Caenorhabditis elegans: one gene and its partner. The protein of the gene in region 1 purifies or fractionates together with the protein of each later gene. This does not show direct contact. Each region holds a gene or a part of one and is shown on either strand. Other genes may lie near its edges.

What was found. Proteins that work in one complex are often made in the same cells at the same time.
Region 2: the proteins of cap-1 (region 1) and arp-11 fractionate together in Caenorhabditis elegans (co-fractionation; one large-scale study listed by BioGRID). This does not show direct contact.

Annotation. Positions count from the first base shown.
Region 1 is NC_003282.8:7,226,349-7,234,255, reverse strand, and holds cap-1 (F-actin-capping protein subunit alpha), read left to right. Parts: upstream 1-4,032; 5' UTR 4,033-4,033; coding exon 4,034-4,114; intron 4,115-4,226; coding exon 4,227-4,352; intron 4,353-4,406; coding exon 4,407-4,847; intron 4,848-5,011; coding exon 5,012-5,176; intron 5,177-5,517; coding exon 5,518-5,553; 3' UTR 5,554-5,834; downstream 5,835-7,907. Other genes in the region: D2024.4 (DUF19 domain-containing protein), read right to left, coding at 1,518-1,745, 1,851-1,937, 1,987-2,128, 2,176-2,349, 2,649-2,844, 2,903-3,008; D2024.5 (Mid2 domain-containing protein), read left to right, coding at 5,950-6,073, 6,118-6,232, 6,277-6,402, 6,452-6,560, 6,749-6,775; R13A1.10 (F-box domain-containing protein), read left to right, coding at 7,092-7,159, 7,428-7,907. UniProt on the Caenorhabditis elegans protein: F-actin-capping proteins bind in a Ca(2+)-independent manner to the fast growing ends of actin filaments (barbed end) thereby blocking the exchange of subunits at these ends.
Region 2 is NC_003282.8:7,898,558-7,906,626, forward strand, and holds arp-11 (Actin-related protein 10), read right to left. Parts: upstream 3,715-8,069; coding exon 3,527-3,714; intron 3,484-3,526; coding exon 3,273-3,483; intron 3,113-3,272; coding exon 2,948-3,112; intron 2,899-2,947; coding exon 2,720-2,898; intron 2,136-2,719; coding exon 1,724-2,135; 3' UTR 1,646-1,723; downstream 1-1,645. Other genes in the region: atic-1 (Bifunctional purine biosynthesis protein ATIC), read left to right, coding at 189-300, 433-489, 677-772, 1,439-1,558; cbpl-1 (Cortactin-binding protein-2 N-terminal domain-containing protein), read left to right, coding at 5,220-5,273, 5,464-5,826, 5,882-5,955, 6,042-6,310, 6,358-6,587, 6,869-7,092, 7,184-7,371, 7,478-7,639.

The sequences.
Region 1 (7,907 bases):
TGCCCGAGAGAGGGCTGAGAACTTTGACCGAGGAGTAACCTAGCGCAGCTGCTCTACAGATCAGTGCAGAGAAATGCCCTCAAAATTCGGCCTGACGACCCATGGTAACGTCTGTTTGAGACAATTAAAAATATTTCTTGTTTTAGAAACAAATATACATTTTCTAATTAATGTTCAATTATTCTATACAATGTTCATGAAGAAAATATGAAAGTTCAATCGCCCTGCATGCTTATAGGATTTGATCTGCCAATCCCAACGAGAAACATTGAAAACAGAAACAATGAAGAGATCATGCAAATAAAAGTAGCCGTCACGTCCTGGAAACCAAATGATTTATAAGTGTGTAGTTCTCTGTTCTCCGCGTATTTTTCATCGTTTCATCTCACTCACTCTTTCTCTCTGCCTAAGCGAACGATTGGCATGAGAAAAGGAAACGAGACAAACTGATTGAAAAAAACATAGAGTGAGGGAAAGAGTGTGGATCTAGATGCCCCGCCAATATATTTTCAAATCTTTTTTTTTTCGATGACGATGATGATGATGGCATTCTTGATGGGGCGTGGAAGGATCAGGAAAGTGGTGAAGGTGGACAGAAAGGGCAACAGGTTATTGCGGGAGACAGAAAAGAGAAGCCGGATCCCGCCGTCTTTCTTTATTCTTTTCATAGTCCATGTGGTTTGATCGTAGAGAAAAAGTATTGAAGGTGGAGAGGGAGATATGGGGTGATATCTATGAAGAATGAGGATTACGTAGATTGCCAATAGAGAAAGTGCATTGCGTCCTCAAATTGTGATAACGTTGATACAAACAACTATGATTCAATATCTTTCCTTAGTGAATCTCGAAAAACGTGGTCTAGAAAATGGCAAAGTCCGGGCCAAACTTTTGCAAGACTTGGGCAAGGCTTTGTTTTGGTCGCACCCAGGTTTAAGCCAAGTTTGGAAGCTTCTCGGATTAAACCTAGTAACAAATTATAGGTTTTCTGTGAATGAAGATTCGAGTTTATGTATAATTTTATAAAATTTTTACAGAGTTCAAACACTGTTATTCTGTTCTTAAAACTCTCGCAAAATGCCCTGCAATTTTAAAAAACTTCTGAACTTTTCTAGAAGCTTCTGACGCATTTCAAGAGTTTTCAGATTTATCTAAAAGTTTTGGAATCTTCGAAATATTTTTTGAAACGCTTTGGTAATTTTGAAACATTCTGCAAATGTGTAGAATTTTCAGAAACATTTTAAACATTTTCTGATTTTTTCTTAACTTCTTAAATATACTGAAAGTTCCAATAAGTATATCAAAGCTCTTGAAAGTTTCCAGAATTTTCGATGAAAAGAAAGCTTGAAATTAATTTTTAAATTCTGTCATGTCACACCTTCTAAGTGTTCTGTTTTGCGATGTCTTCCAACTTCTTTCAAAAACAATTTCATCTTAAAATAAACTGTATTTATTAAGATTCACAGGGTGTTTTATGTACATTCTTGTCTCAATTATAGCTATAAGTGTCATCAACTCAATTACAAATTGGAATTCACATCAAATTTCACTGTATGATACAGGCATGCTGCGTAGGAATCTACAGGGGCACACAATTTCTCGATGGATCTTGTGAGCGTCTCTTTATAATTTGAATTGGACATTTTACTGGAGTCACCATAAACTTGGCACATCTTTTGACATTGTTCAGCTCTTCCAGACTTCATTGGGTTACGATCCATTACATGGATTACTGTAGTCATGATTCCCTGAAATTAACCAAAATAATCAGCTAAAATGGGAAACAAAACACAAGATTTTGAGCAACAATTTCACGTTCAATGCTATTTCACAGGACGAACATCCATTTTAACCTGTTTGAGGTACTGCCAGTACTCCTCGATTTTATCCTTCGTGTCAGATTCTTCTTTGTTAATATCGTCTTGAGTCGGAGTGCACATCTAAAAAATAAACAAGCTGTTATATTCTAATTTATATCATTATTTATACCTTAAAAGTATATCTATGAATATTATCAGTTGTGGAACACTCCTCCTTCCCCTCGTTGCTCAAAAATTTTTTAAGCTTGTTCAATTTGCTCTCATTTTCTTTTACGTTTTCCTTAACGTTTTCGCACAGAGAGCAGAATTTACTGAAAAGCCAATTCCTATTGTTAGTTTATATAAATTGCAAACCAACCATGTAGTTTTACCACCGAGCATCTCTCTCAATTGGGAGTTATAACTCTCTGGACACCATTGAGATGGACTAGTTACGTTTGCACAAATGCTCTCAACTCCACGAAGATTTTGAATCGCGTCTTCTGATTTGCAGGGAACGTTTTGGCCAAGTTGCATAAATGCTTCAATGTATCTAGAAGAAAGAATGTACCATTTTTTTTTTCTATTAGACTGTTATCGGCATTGCTTTACTTTGACGGTTTAGTTTATCGAAAAAAAATGTTTTCACTAATAAAGTAAAGAAAACTATGTTATAAGTGTGTTCAGTTCGCACTTTTCATGAAACCAAAAAACCCGGGAAACCCCCGTCGAAGAGGTGTAAAGAGGTGCAAGTTTAATAGGGAAAAATACGGAATCTATTACGATTTTAAGAGATTTGCAGGATTCAATTTTACGAATGAACTCCAGTCTTAAGTTTCAGCTCTAACTTACGGATTCTCGATAGGTCTCAGCATCTTAAAGCTGACTTTAACTCTATAGCATCCAGGGAAATCAATTTGGCGAGTTTCTCCATTAATATCAGTAATTGTTACTTCATCTTTTTCTTCATCTTCTTCCTCTGGATTATCATTCTTCAACATTTTCATTGTGATCTTCAACGAGCTCTCGTCAATAACATCGGAATCCACTAAACTTGGTTGTAAATTAATTGTAAAACCATTTAATTTTTATTTAAAAGAACAAACCATTCGGACAACTTTGTGTGACATTTTCTCTAACTTGAATGTGAACTTTTCGGCATGTTGCCAGTGCTAAAACAGTTAGGAGTAGTATGAGGAATCTGAATAACATCTTTGAATATTCTGAATTGTCTAACAATTTTCTTTTATAGCATTTTCAGTTGATCGTGATCATCTTGACCTAGTTATTCGAACAACTAGAATATAGCAAATCCGTTGTTGCCGGACTATTATTAGAAGAAGAGGAAGCGAACACTTTCCGAAAAAAGAGTGGAATTGTTTGCATTATGAACAACGTTTTTAAAACATTTAACCGGAATTTTTTAGATCCAAAGTTTTTTATTCAGATTAAACAATTTAATTGATCAATTCTGAACTATTATTTCAAGTTTGAAGCTTAGCGTTTTCTGGTTCATCAATTTGATTTTGCAGTTTAAGAAGCAGAGGAAGGGAATTCCCGAAAAAAATGCATTGTTTGTTTTATGAACAACGTTTCTATATAAGTCGCATTGATTGAAAGATTGCAATGTTCAAATTTCGGTTTTTTTTCTTGGACTGAAATCTACCGTACCACTTCCAAAATTTCGTGTTTCTCGAATTATATTTCAGACGCAAATAATTAATATTTCTCGTAGCACAGGTTATTCTTGGCTTTTCGACATAATTTTCTTTCAAATTTTCATTGACATGCTCTCAAATTTCAAAGATTTTCTTCTCTAGAAATGCTCTCACATCTAGTACATATTCTCTCTTCCAGCGAATTTTTCACAAATTTTAAGTGTAAATAATGTAATTGAATTCTGAACATGGTTCAAATGCTTTTTATTTTATAGACTATTTATTACTCATTTTTTATAACTGCTTTAGTGTGCTTTCTTTTTCGCTGAAGAATAAAAAACATTTCAAACTAAATATCTCAAGTAATCTCTATCCACTTTCCGTGTGGTGTCTCTCGAAAACGCAAGCGCGCTCTACGGCTAAAATCGATGCGCTCATTTCTCTGTTTGTGATTCATTTTTGTTCACTCTTTTATTCAATGAATCACCACTTTTATTTTGTCAATCTTTATTTCTTTTTAGTTATTTGATAGAAATATATTTTTAAAATGTTTATAAGCATAACTCTTTCTCGTTCAGAATGTCGGAGATCAGTGACGCCGAAAAGGTCCGCATTGCTTCGGATTTCATTAAACACGCGCCACCCGGCGAGTTCAACGAGGTAATTTTTTGTCGATTTTTAGGAGAATTGCTCGTTCAAGCTTGATATTATAGTCATCAAAAAATTTATATTTCGCAATTCACTTCAATTGTCAATTTACCTTTCCATTCAGGTATTCAATTCGGTTCGGATGCTTTTGGAAAATGATGATCTTCTGAAGAACAAATGTGTTAATGCTATCGCTCAATATAACGTTGGACAATTTGTGCCAGTAAAGTTGGATGGTGTTGCCAAGCAGGTATACTATTTTCATTTTTTAAACTTTCTTCAAATATTTAATTATTTTCTTCAGACTCTGATCACTCCATACAATGATTTGGGTAATGGACGTTTCTACGATGAAGTTTCAAAGAAAAGTTTCAAATACGATCACGTCCGTAAAGAGGCCGCAGATCTTCAACCACATCCAGCCGAGTCTGGAATAACCGAACAATGGCGTCAAGCTCTTCAAACTCAACTCGATATATATATTGATGATCATTACGCGAAAAGTGGAACGGGAGTGGTTTTTGCTCGAAACGGAGTTTTCACGATTTGCATCGAATCTCATCAATTCCAGCCAAAAAATTTCTGTAACGGAAGATGGCGTTCGGAGTGGAATGTGCCGGTTGGCGATGGTAAATCAGGATCTCAGGAGATGAAAGGAAAAATTTTGTCGCAAGTTCATTATTACGAAGACGGAAACGTGCAGTTGTTCTCTGAGAAAGAGCCGGTTCTTAAAGTCAATGTTTCGGTAAATTTTTTTTTCCATAAATTGATCCAATTTAGAAGGATAGAAAAAAAAGTTTTTCATAAAATTGTGAAGAACAAAATAAAATCACAGGAATCATTTAAATTATATTTTTCATAGAGCTATTTAATCGAATTAAAAATTGGCATATAAAGCCCTATTTTCAGGCTGACTTCGACAAAACCGCCAAAGAAATAATTCATGCCATTTCCGAGGAAGAGACTATATATCAGAATGCTGTACAAGAGAATTACGCTAATATGTCTGATACCACATTCAAAGCACTTCGTCGCCAATTGCCAGTTACTCGCGCTAAGATGGACTGGAATAAGGTATCGTAATTTCACAATATTTCGGAATGCCTTCGGAAAAGTGCACAGATTTATTCAGATGGGTCTCGGTGTTTCTTATTTTTCTGTTAACAAATGCTTCGAATCAGTTTTATATCCCTTGTCATGCAGACACAATAAAAAATAATTGTGATTTGAAAACTAATTTAAAAAGAATTTTAACAGAAACAAGAGATGAAGCCGACAAAATTCTCTAAATGCGAAGTAATTTCTTTGAAAAAGATTAAGCAAGGGCTACCATAATAAATCTGTGCGCCTCTACAAAGGCATGTCAAAATTTTCAGAATTGATAAAATAAAAAGAATAAATTAATTTTAATTCAGGCTCAAACCTACCGAATTGGTCAGGAAATGAAGTAATCACAAAATCGTTATCACATCGCTTTGCTTCAAGTTCGTCTGCTGGTCTTCATCATCTTCCTAATCCTCTCCAAAAACCAAAAAATCCTCCAATTTCGACCTTTATTTCTCCCACTTTCCTTTATCCTTTGGCCGGACACTAGACGTGCTTTACAACATAATACCCTTCGTTTGCTCCGCTGCTTCTTTTTTCATGATTTGATAATTTGTATCATCTATGTATCTAATTTTATTGTATGGTATGATTCATTTTTCAATTATATATTATTTGTGTGTGTGTGATTAAGAATTTTCGAGATATTTTCTGATTTTAGAAAGGTCGCGCACCTTTTGATATATATTTAAACGAATTAGCTAAATAGTTAATATGTGTTCGTTTAATTGAAGAAAATTCAGATGCAAAACCTCACTGAGGTTCTCAATGCGACTTTATTGAGCAACTTGTCAGATTTGGTATCATCGACAAGTACGGTATCAACCAGCACGACTACAACTACCACGACGGAAATTCCATTGACTAGTAAGCTTTCAGAAACATATTTCTAAGATTACACATTTTTTCAGCATCTTTTCCTCCAAGTGATCATACAACTGCAACGTCGATCGCCTTCATTTCCTTGGTAGTTTTTGGAGTAGCATGTGCTCTCATTGCGAAAATTGTGATAAGCCATAAGAAAAAGTGAGTATCCTTTCGATTTATAAAACATTTATTCTCAATTTTAGGAGAGCTGAATTAATCGGATCAGCACGATGGAGAATTTCTGCTTCAAGACAAAGCGCATCTTCGGCTTCTAGTGGCGGAATGGGCCAAAATTCTTCAGCCACTTATCTTCCCATGGGCCGTGGAGGGTATATAAGCAATTATTATTTTAATTATTTCACATTTTGAAACTTTAAGAAACAATCGCTCACTGAACAATCAAAGACAACCGCTGAACTCACTGGATCACCCGACAGCCGATCGTCTCGATTGGGAACGACAGTTCTTCGATGATTCCGAAGCTACAGTACGTTCTTTTAGATTTATAGTCTTCAATTGATATTATTGCGAAAATTATTAATTAAACGGAAACTTAAAAACTCAGATTAACGTCGAAATATAATTCTGAATGGATGTGTAAGTTCTAAAATGTCGTCATGTGATTTTTGTGGTTATTAATCCTTTCCGCAGTCTCTACAAATTAAAAAATTTCAGACTCCTTCAAGGCTCATCTTCCGCTGAATAAATCGTATTGTCGACTACATCAAACTCATCGCGCCATGTTAATTTATTATTTCCCATTTTGGTTCAAATTGAAATTCCTGGTTGTCATAATAATTCTCCATTCAGTCGCTTTAACTTCTTCTGTCGCTTTCCCGAATTCCCTCCCATCTTCGTGTAGTTTTCAGTTTTATCTCCCATAATGGGTCTAATGAAAAATACGTTCATATTAAAATAGCATTTTTCTGTTCTTTTTTCTCGATTTGGCATATGACCAAAACTGAAAAGTTATCCAAATCATCTGAATCGGACCAATAAACAGGGCGGTTAAGGTATAATGAATCTCGAAAATCTTCCACAAGAAATGCTGCATGAGGTAGTTAAGCATCTGTCGTTCATGGAACGGTAAGATTTTATTATAAAGACGCAGAAAAATTCAGCTTTTGAAATCGGCGTGGAAAGGTCGAGCTGAAAACGCAAGTTAAAAAATGCATGAATATCGGCGAAACTAATTGAAAAAGTTTTAATTCCCCGTTTTGCCGCCAAATACCTAACGAGACCCATGGTTCGTGGGCGTTGCATTTTGGAGCGCGTTTCCGCGTCGATTTCGAAAAGGATATTTTTCTGCGTCAAAATAATAATTGACTGTTCCAACAAAACCAAAATAGTTCAGACTACCACTGCAGAAATGCTCGAGAAAGATGAAATCTGCGACTGAATCAGCTGTACTTGTATTCAATGAAGAAATTACTTTAACATACACACCACATGAAGATTCTTCACTAATTGAAACTTATTTAATAGAATTCAATGGAATTGTTATTCGAATATATGAATCATCTGTTCCTGGTGAAGTCACTGTTAATTTCGAAAAATTGATGTCAAGAACAAAAATTGAAACAACTGAAAGATCTAACTGCCAAGACGTGGCACGGAAGATTTTCTGCGAAACTTTTCTGAAGGACAATGTCATCTGCAACTCTTTCAAGACGAATCACATGTTCAATTCCAACTTTTTGCAAGCTTCCGAGTGTTTGAATGTCGAGAATTTTAAACATTTTCGGTCGGCTATCGGCGTCGAAATTATTGAATTCGAAAGTAGTCTACCGATGTGGCTGGTCCATTTGAATCCAAAACATCTCCGGAGTATTAC
Region 2 (8,069 bases), 670 kb from region 1:
AAGTATACATTTCAACAAAAAAAGGTGTCTCGATTGCAATGTTTAAAATGACTCCACCTACACTGTCTCTCTCTTCCGGACATATCTATAATACTGATAACCGTGTAACATTGACCGATCGATTCGTCATTTCTAGAAGAAATCAAAAAACGTTATGATTATCAAGCACATGTTTTTATTCAATTCAGGTGGCTACGACAACATCCAACAGTACTCTCACTTCCATGGAAGAATGCAATTAAACGATCAGAGAAATCAAATGCTATTGATGTTTTATGCAGTGGAGTTCTTGGTTCAGAGGTTTGTAATTTTAAGTTCAATAGACCTTTGTCGTACTTTTCTCTTGTGACAAATTTGTAATCTTTAATCGTTTGGCTATTTTTAAAGATTTCAAGTCTTCAAAATAAACAAAAAATTTACTCATTTTTGCAGATTGCCATCGACCAATGGCAGCAATATTTCAATGAGCCAGTGGAGCCACTTGCTGAGGTACGTGTGTGCCCGTTGGGCATTTTAAGCCTCGTGTATGGACCCAAAAGTGTATAATCTGACAGATGATGACGTAGGGAAATGAGACGAAAAGGATTAGTTTTTTTGGTAGAAAATAAGATTTTTTTTGAGTTTCTTTTTTTTTCGGTTTGAAGATTTGTGGGGAACTTTGATGAATAATTTTCAGGATGATCGCAAACAATGGCTGAGCCAGCAAACAGGAGTTGTGATGAGTTCAGATGCATTCCTTCCATTCCGTGATAATGTTGATTGTGCTAAACAGGTAAAAACGTTTTTCATTGTTGGTCAATGCTCGAAGTATTCTAATATGTTGAAATACTACAGCGTTAAAGCGAAAAATTTTTTTTAATTGATATTAGAGTGGAAACGCGCTCCATGGCTATTTTAAAGTGATCCGCCCCCAATACATGGGTCTCGTTAGATGATTTAAGCCGTAACTTCAAGCGTTTTCAACTAGTTTTGCCGATTTCGCCAATTTCCTAGCATTTTTAGAGTTTTTTTTTCTATTTTCCGCTGTTTTTAATGATTTTTTCGTCCAAGTCGAAAATGCTTGAAAATTGGCGAAATCGGTGAAAATAATTTGAAGCGTTTGAAATGACGGATTTGTAGCCGAATACCTCACGAGACCAATTTTTTATTTTGTATTTCGTGATTTTTACATTTGGGCATAGTAATTGGTTCGAAAGCGGCTAAATAAATAAATAAATAATTTTAAAATTTTCTAGTAGTATTCAGTTTGTGATTTCTGAACCACAGTGTATACAGTTCCTAATTAGATTAGAAGTAACAAACTAAATTAGACACACTGAATGTTCAAGTGAGCTTTGTTAAATTGAATAATACAAGTGTGACGCCAAGAAAAAAAAAATTCAAAAACTTTCCTGTTTTCAAGAGTTGTAGGGATACTGATTGTGTATAATTTTTGCAGTTCGGAGTGTCTTATGTTGCTCATCCAGGAGGCTCAGTTCGTGATGATGACATCAAAGAAGCTTGTGATGAACATGGAATAACTCTTATTCATACTGGACTTCGTCTCTTCCACCATTAGATTTTTTAAGCAAACGGCAGCAATAAAGTTTACACATTTTTCCTAACTTTTATCCAACTTCCCCTTAATGTACAGTTTTGGCCCTTTTTTTCTAAGTTTTTCATACATTTATGCGAATAAATAATAAAATTATAAAGCACCAGTTACATTTAAAAAAACAAATTTCTAACGGGATTTTACAATGATATCAGTCCAATCAGCAGCTAATTTTCCATTTTTCCACTCTTCCAAGGTTAAACTTTTGCGTTCAATTGTCTCTCGAAGTGATCCCAATAGACTTGCACCGAGCCAGGAAACGAAAAGTGGCGTGTTTTTGATTTCCGAAAATTGATAGAATTTTACAATTACGGCAATTTTGGAATTGTTTTTCTCGTCGATAACTTGAATTTCTTGTTCCAAACGTTTCATGAGACCAGGAATTGTAGAGACTCCACCAGTTAAAAGTATATTTGGGAATAGCTTTTTCCGGAGATCAATCGGGCATTTTGATACCAGCTTGTGAAGAAGTTTCGGAAGGGAAAGATCGAATGATGTAGGATTGAGATTCTCATTGAAGAAGATTTCAGTACTTGTTTCGCTGAAATAATAAGTACTAAAGGTAATACGCGGCTTCTCTTACAATCGAAGTTCAGAATTTAATTTTTTCTGTTTTTTTTTTTGAATAATATAGGGAGCATAATAAAAATTGTTTGGATTACTGTAGGTGGCAGATTTCATGATATCATAGAAGGAGTTTTTAAAAAAATTTACTTTTTAACTACGAGAAATAAGTAATTTTAGAAACTTCTCTGTTGCTAATATGACGAAATATAATAGGAAAACTTTTCAAAAAATGTTGGATTTTGTTTATTCAGTCAAAAAGCGAAGCAACGCAAAAAGCGAAGCAAGCGAAGCGTAGCTTTTTTGGATGTCGTCGATCAAAAGTAATTTTTCCAATTTTTGTTCTAAAATATTTATATTAAAACAGTCAGGAGGGAGGCTCTAAATTGCGACATTGCTTTAGTTTTCACGAAAAAATGGTACGAACATAATTTATGTCGCTTTTTGTCTGTGAATAAACATTTTTTAAACAAAAAATTGCAGTTTTCCATGATATTTGATAACGTTTGCCAACACATTCAATTTTTAAACTTCTGGTAAGAAAAAACTTTTAAAACTTACAATACAACTGGAGGAACTACAAATATTTTTCCATTATTCGGAAATAGTCTTTCTTTGCAAAGTGTCTCAATATCCGGTTTTTCTCCTTCTTCTGACGCTTCCCATTTTGTCCAATTTTCGGCCCGTTCCTTATCCAGACAAATGAGTGATAAACTAAGCGTTTCGATAAGTTTACACGCCTAAAACATATCTTCAGTTATTGAGTTTTTTCAAGTTTTAGATATTTACATCAATATCTTGCCAATCGTTTTCTGTAATTGCTCGTCTCTCTCCATTTAATTCTGCAATTTGACCATATTTCTCCATTTGCTCCCGAACTCTTCGTTCAAGTTGTCGGCCACAAATCGAGCGAGCTGATTCGAACTCATTCAGCATTGTCACACCTTCGATAATCTGAAAAAAATACAATTTGCAATAAATCATAAATAGAAATTTGAATTTCTAAAAAAAATTTAACTGTTTAAAATTGTAGATGGTAAAAAATTACTCTTTTGTTGATTTTTTTCTAGAAATATTTTCTTATGCTCTTCAAAAATTAAAAATAAGAACTAACTGGAACTGCGATACATTCTGAATGTCCAATATCGACAACGAGAGCATTTTGAGTATTGAATGGAAATGTGGCACAAACATGAGATGGCATGAACATTAGAGATTTGCAACGAATCTTTTCGACAACAATTTTGGTGATGGTATTGCGGAGGGATTCTGACATGAAAATGCTTTCCACAAATATCACTGGACGGTCAGTGGGAGCCAAAACTCTAAAATCCAAGCTTTAAGTTAATCGAGGCCAGAGAGGCTCACTTTAAAAATACAATCCTCAAGAATTTATAGAGAATTTCTTCGTAGTACTCGGTGGACTTTGTAGCAGTCTTCCGATTGTTTAGAGCTAATAATTCATCAGAAGTTATCAATTTTCCTTCATCATCGACGTATTCTGTTCGGATAATATGTCGAGGTGTTATTTCTCCGGCACATCCAATTCTAAACATAGTAAAATTATGAAATTTAAGAACAGTGGAACTCAAACTTCGTTAACTTGCTTCCAATCTCAACCACAACTGCACTTTTTCCATTATCGATTGAACTGATAGCTTGAGATAAAGTTGTCGATGAAAGCGAGATTGATTGATTTGAAACTCCCGACGAACTCCGTCGAGCCGCCTTCAGCGACTCCAACGTTGATTGAGCAGTTGATGCCAGTTTGAACACTACAATATTGATTTTAAGATGATTTAATCTTAAAAAGAAAGGAGTAATTACGAATGTGGCACAATAAATAATGATTGATTCGTCTAATTAAAGTAAAATCTTGATAAAACATTAAAACAAAAAAGTCGTTCTCAATTGAGCGCTTACCGTATACGTGTGCAAACACCATGTATCTTCTATTGCGTACCGCGCGCAGTATATTACGCGCAAAGTTTTTGCGACTCTGAGTGACGTCACCAGACATTTTCTTATCGCTTTCTCGTTTACCGCCAGTTTAAATAATTATTTTATCACTTTTTATAAGTTTTTATCATTTCGCGTAATTACAGTAATCTTTTTATTAAAGGATTTGTTGCTTGATAGTGAACTAAAATAGGTTAACTTTGATTTTTAATGAGAGAGACATCATCGATTGCAGGTTTAGATTAGTTGTATCCATTTCTCTGACTCGAAATCTCTTTTTGCGTACTAATTTTTCAAAATAACCATCGATCTTCATCCAGATTTGAGGAAAATTCCTGTTTATTATTTTCAATATCTGGAAGGCTAAATAGAAAAAATGTTTGACTCGTTTAGGAATCCTAAATTTTGGAGATATAAAATTTGCGTCTTTCAATATTCAACTATTTGGGATATGATTTCCTTTTTTGCAATTATGGATTCTTACTAGAAAAACTACCAGACTCTGGCAAACATTCTCCTCCGCCTTGTTTGCTTTTTTCGTTGCTGGTCATCTTCAACAAACAGTGTACTTAAGCTCAGCATCACCACCGTGTTTTTTCATGGTGAAAACAACCCAGTTAAAATGGCTGAACAAGATGTTTAGATTTTTCTCGATAACATCTGATTGTGTAGGTCACCTTTACAAAGTTCATTTGAACTTTTTGCTATATCGTTATTCGAACGGATCTTCTCTCTTAACATAAAAGTTCCTTGCAATAGATATCGTTCAAAACGAACCAAGTGTCATCACTTGGAGCGGAGCCAGTAGAGCCCTGCTCTCGACATGTGAGAGCCCGGTCGCAAGGCATAGGGAATGACAACATTTCGTCTGCGTCTCCACCTCTTCAAGCAATCACTGTGAAATAGAAGCACACGAAGTTACACACTTGAATCCCTTTCTCTATATCCCTCGGTCTCTAGTTCTTCAGTTTATCCACGTTCAACGTCTGCTTTTTCTTCTTCTGCATCGACTTCGTGTTTTTTTCTCCAGAAATTTCGAAAACGTTTCAAAAATAATTTTTCCAGACTTCTGCTTCACGGCGTTTGCCGTGTTTCTTTCACGATGCCAAATTTACTCGATGACAGTTTTGATCCAACTTTTCAATCAACATCAAAAGTGAGTTTTAATTCCACAAGGAACATAAAATTGTAAGCAAAGTTTGTATACTCTAATTTTTAATATTCACAGTCTCAAATTATTCTAAGATTGCAAATTAACGCTCATTTTCCGAGTGATTGAGCCACACCCAAAGTTTTGAAAATATATAATTTATCAGTAATTAACCAAAAACTTCTACAATGTTCAGAAATTGGTACTTCCGTCTATTCGAAAGGTTCAGCCCGAATATGACAATCTTCCCGAAGAGCAGGGGGTTAACGATTTCTCAAGTGATGAACTGATGAAATTGCTCTCGTTCATGGAAGGTGAAGTTCAAGCAAGAGAAGATGTCATTGATCATCTGAAACGTGAAAGAACGAAAATTCTACTATCCGAAGCTAAATATGGAAAACTAAATATGAACGATCCATTTGCTGCGTTGCGACGAGATTCGGCAATTACTGGCGAACAGATTGATGAAGAGAAGATTGTTCAAATGTACGAGTCACAAGTGGATCAGTTGGATAAGATGATGGCAGTGCAAAAGCAATCGCAAAGAAATGCGGCTGTGGTAATTAAATTTTTGTGCAGCTCCCTCTATTTACACCAATCAAAAAAGTTTTCAGCTGTTGGTTGCGCTGGAGAAGAAGCAATATAAACTCGTGAAAAAGTTGGAGGCGGATAGAGAAGCTAAAATAAGGTGAGTTATATATTACGAAATAAGAAAATACCTTAATAAACATTATAACTCGACTCATACGCCTAAAATTTAGAACAAATCTTTAGGTACGCGAAACAAGGAGATGATTTGGTCGCTCACTTGGAAAAAGAACGAAATCAACTTCAACAACAAATTGAATTTCATATTGAGGAGAAACGCAAAGCCGAAATCGCAAAGGATAAAATGGAAATGACACTTGGAAATGAGAAAAAACGTCACGAATCAATCGTTTTGTATTTGATACAAGAACGCAAACAAATGCTTTTAAAAATGCACGAATTAAGAGTGAAAGCCGAACAAATTATGCTTCAAAATCAAAATGATCCTACCAAACGTGAGTTAACTGCAAAATAAGTTTTTTTAGTTCAATAAAACTTTCAGCTGGTCCATCATCAGCGTTAAGTGAACGCGAGCTTATTGAGGAGCTGAAAAAAGAAGTCACGTTTTTACGAGCAGAACGGGAATCGCTCACAAAAACTCAGAAAATGGTGAAAACTGAAAATCTGAGCCTTCGAGAAACAGTTCGTGGACAAGAAGCCGATCTTCAGATGCTTCGACGGAATCTGACGTTAACTGGAGCAAAAATGTCAATTGATAAGCCTGGGAATGTAGTGAGTTTTGTTTCAAATTTTCAATTTTCCTGAAACGGTCATAGAAATTTGGTTTATCGATGTCTCTAAATGTCAAAAGAATTGTTTTAAATTAGCTCTTGACAAATGCAAAAAAGTTGTAACTTTTTACTTATTACATGATATTTCCCATCTGCATTTTCTTTTATCAGTTGAACATAATAAGACAACCTTCACATAGTTGATTGCACTCATGATTAGCAAAATTTAGCTCTCAAAACAAGTTATGGAATTTCCGCATTTCATATTTTATGTTATTGCAGCTACCTCAACTTCCACCCGACACAGGATCCCTAATAATGGCGAATCGAGGTGCAAAACCAGCAGTTAATAGACAACAGCCAGCTCCTCCTCCTGTAGCTCGTCTTCCAAATTCAGCAACATTTCCAACTGAAAAGAGTCGACTTCCAAGAGCTCCACCTCCAGCTGTAACAACACCGGTCCCTCGAATGAGTATTGGAAGTTTGCCGGCATCTAGTTCTAATGTGTAAGATTTCTGACTACAATCAATTTTGATATTGCTATGTCACTGCAATCTGCCAAACTCAAACAAATTACAGTACCATGAAAACTTTCAGACCTCGCACAATGAGTTCGCCAGTGAAAAAGACACCAGTTATGGGTGTTTCCTCCACAGCAGTCCGACGCCCTCAGTCCGCAGCAACTACTACAATGCCAACTACCTCAGTTATAACAAATACATCTGCTGTGATGCCACTGTCGCCTGATCTCGAACAGCTGGAGGCTGCCATACAATCTATGAATGGTACGTTTTTTTCTTTGATTTTTCAAAACTTTCTGCACATTCTTATTTAATTTGGCAAGGCTTTATATTATTGTGTTAGTCTTTTCGTAGTTATGTCATTCTTCAGTTGTTACCGCCAGTCCCCCCGCATATTCAACTGCCATGGCCAAACGGAGTTCAAGTCTTCCGAGAGAAGCAAATAACAATCCACCAGGAGCTCCAATCCGTAGAAGCACGATGAACGGTGGAATGCACACATCTACGACGGGAGTCGTTAGCACTAGAATTGGCATGTTTTTGTAGTTATAGACTTGTGTTTTCTCGTTTTTTTTTTCAAGATGGCAGTTACCTTGAAAGAGCTGAAAGACAGTAGTAACTATGCAATCACTTGTAGTTTTGCGCTCAAGAGTATTGTTTTTGGTTTTCGGTATTGGGAAATTTCCATTTAGAAAACAAAATCATTCAGTCTTTGTAGGTGGAATATGAATGCAAATTGTGTCTGACTTTAAAAACTACTGCAGTTTTAAACTTTCTGCGGGAGTTTCATCGGTTCTTCAAACGTTTTTTTCTAGATTTGTTAAAATTTATGTGTTTTAAAAACTGGTTTTTTAATAAGTTTATTTTTATCGGAACCCTATGAAAAATCTATGAAAATTCCGCAGCCACACAAGTTTGAACTCACAGTACTCGCTAAAAGAGCATACCCTCCTTTTTTAGCA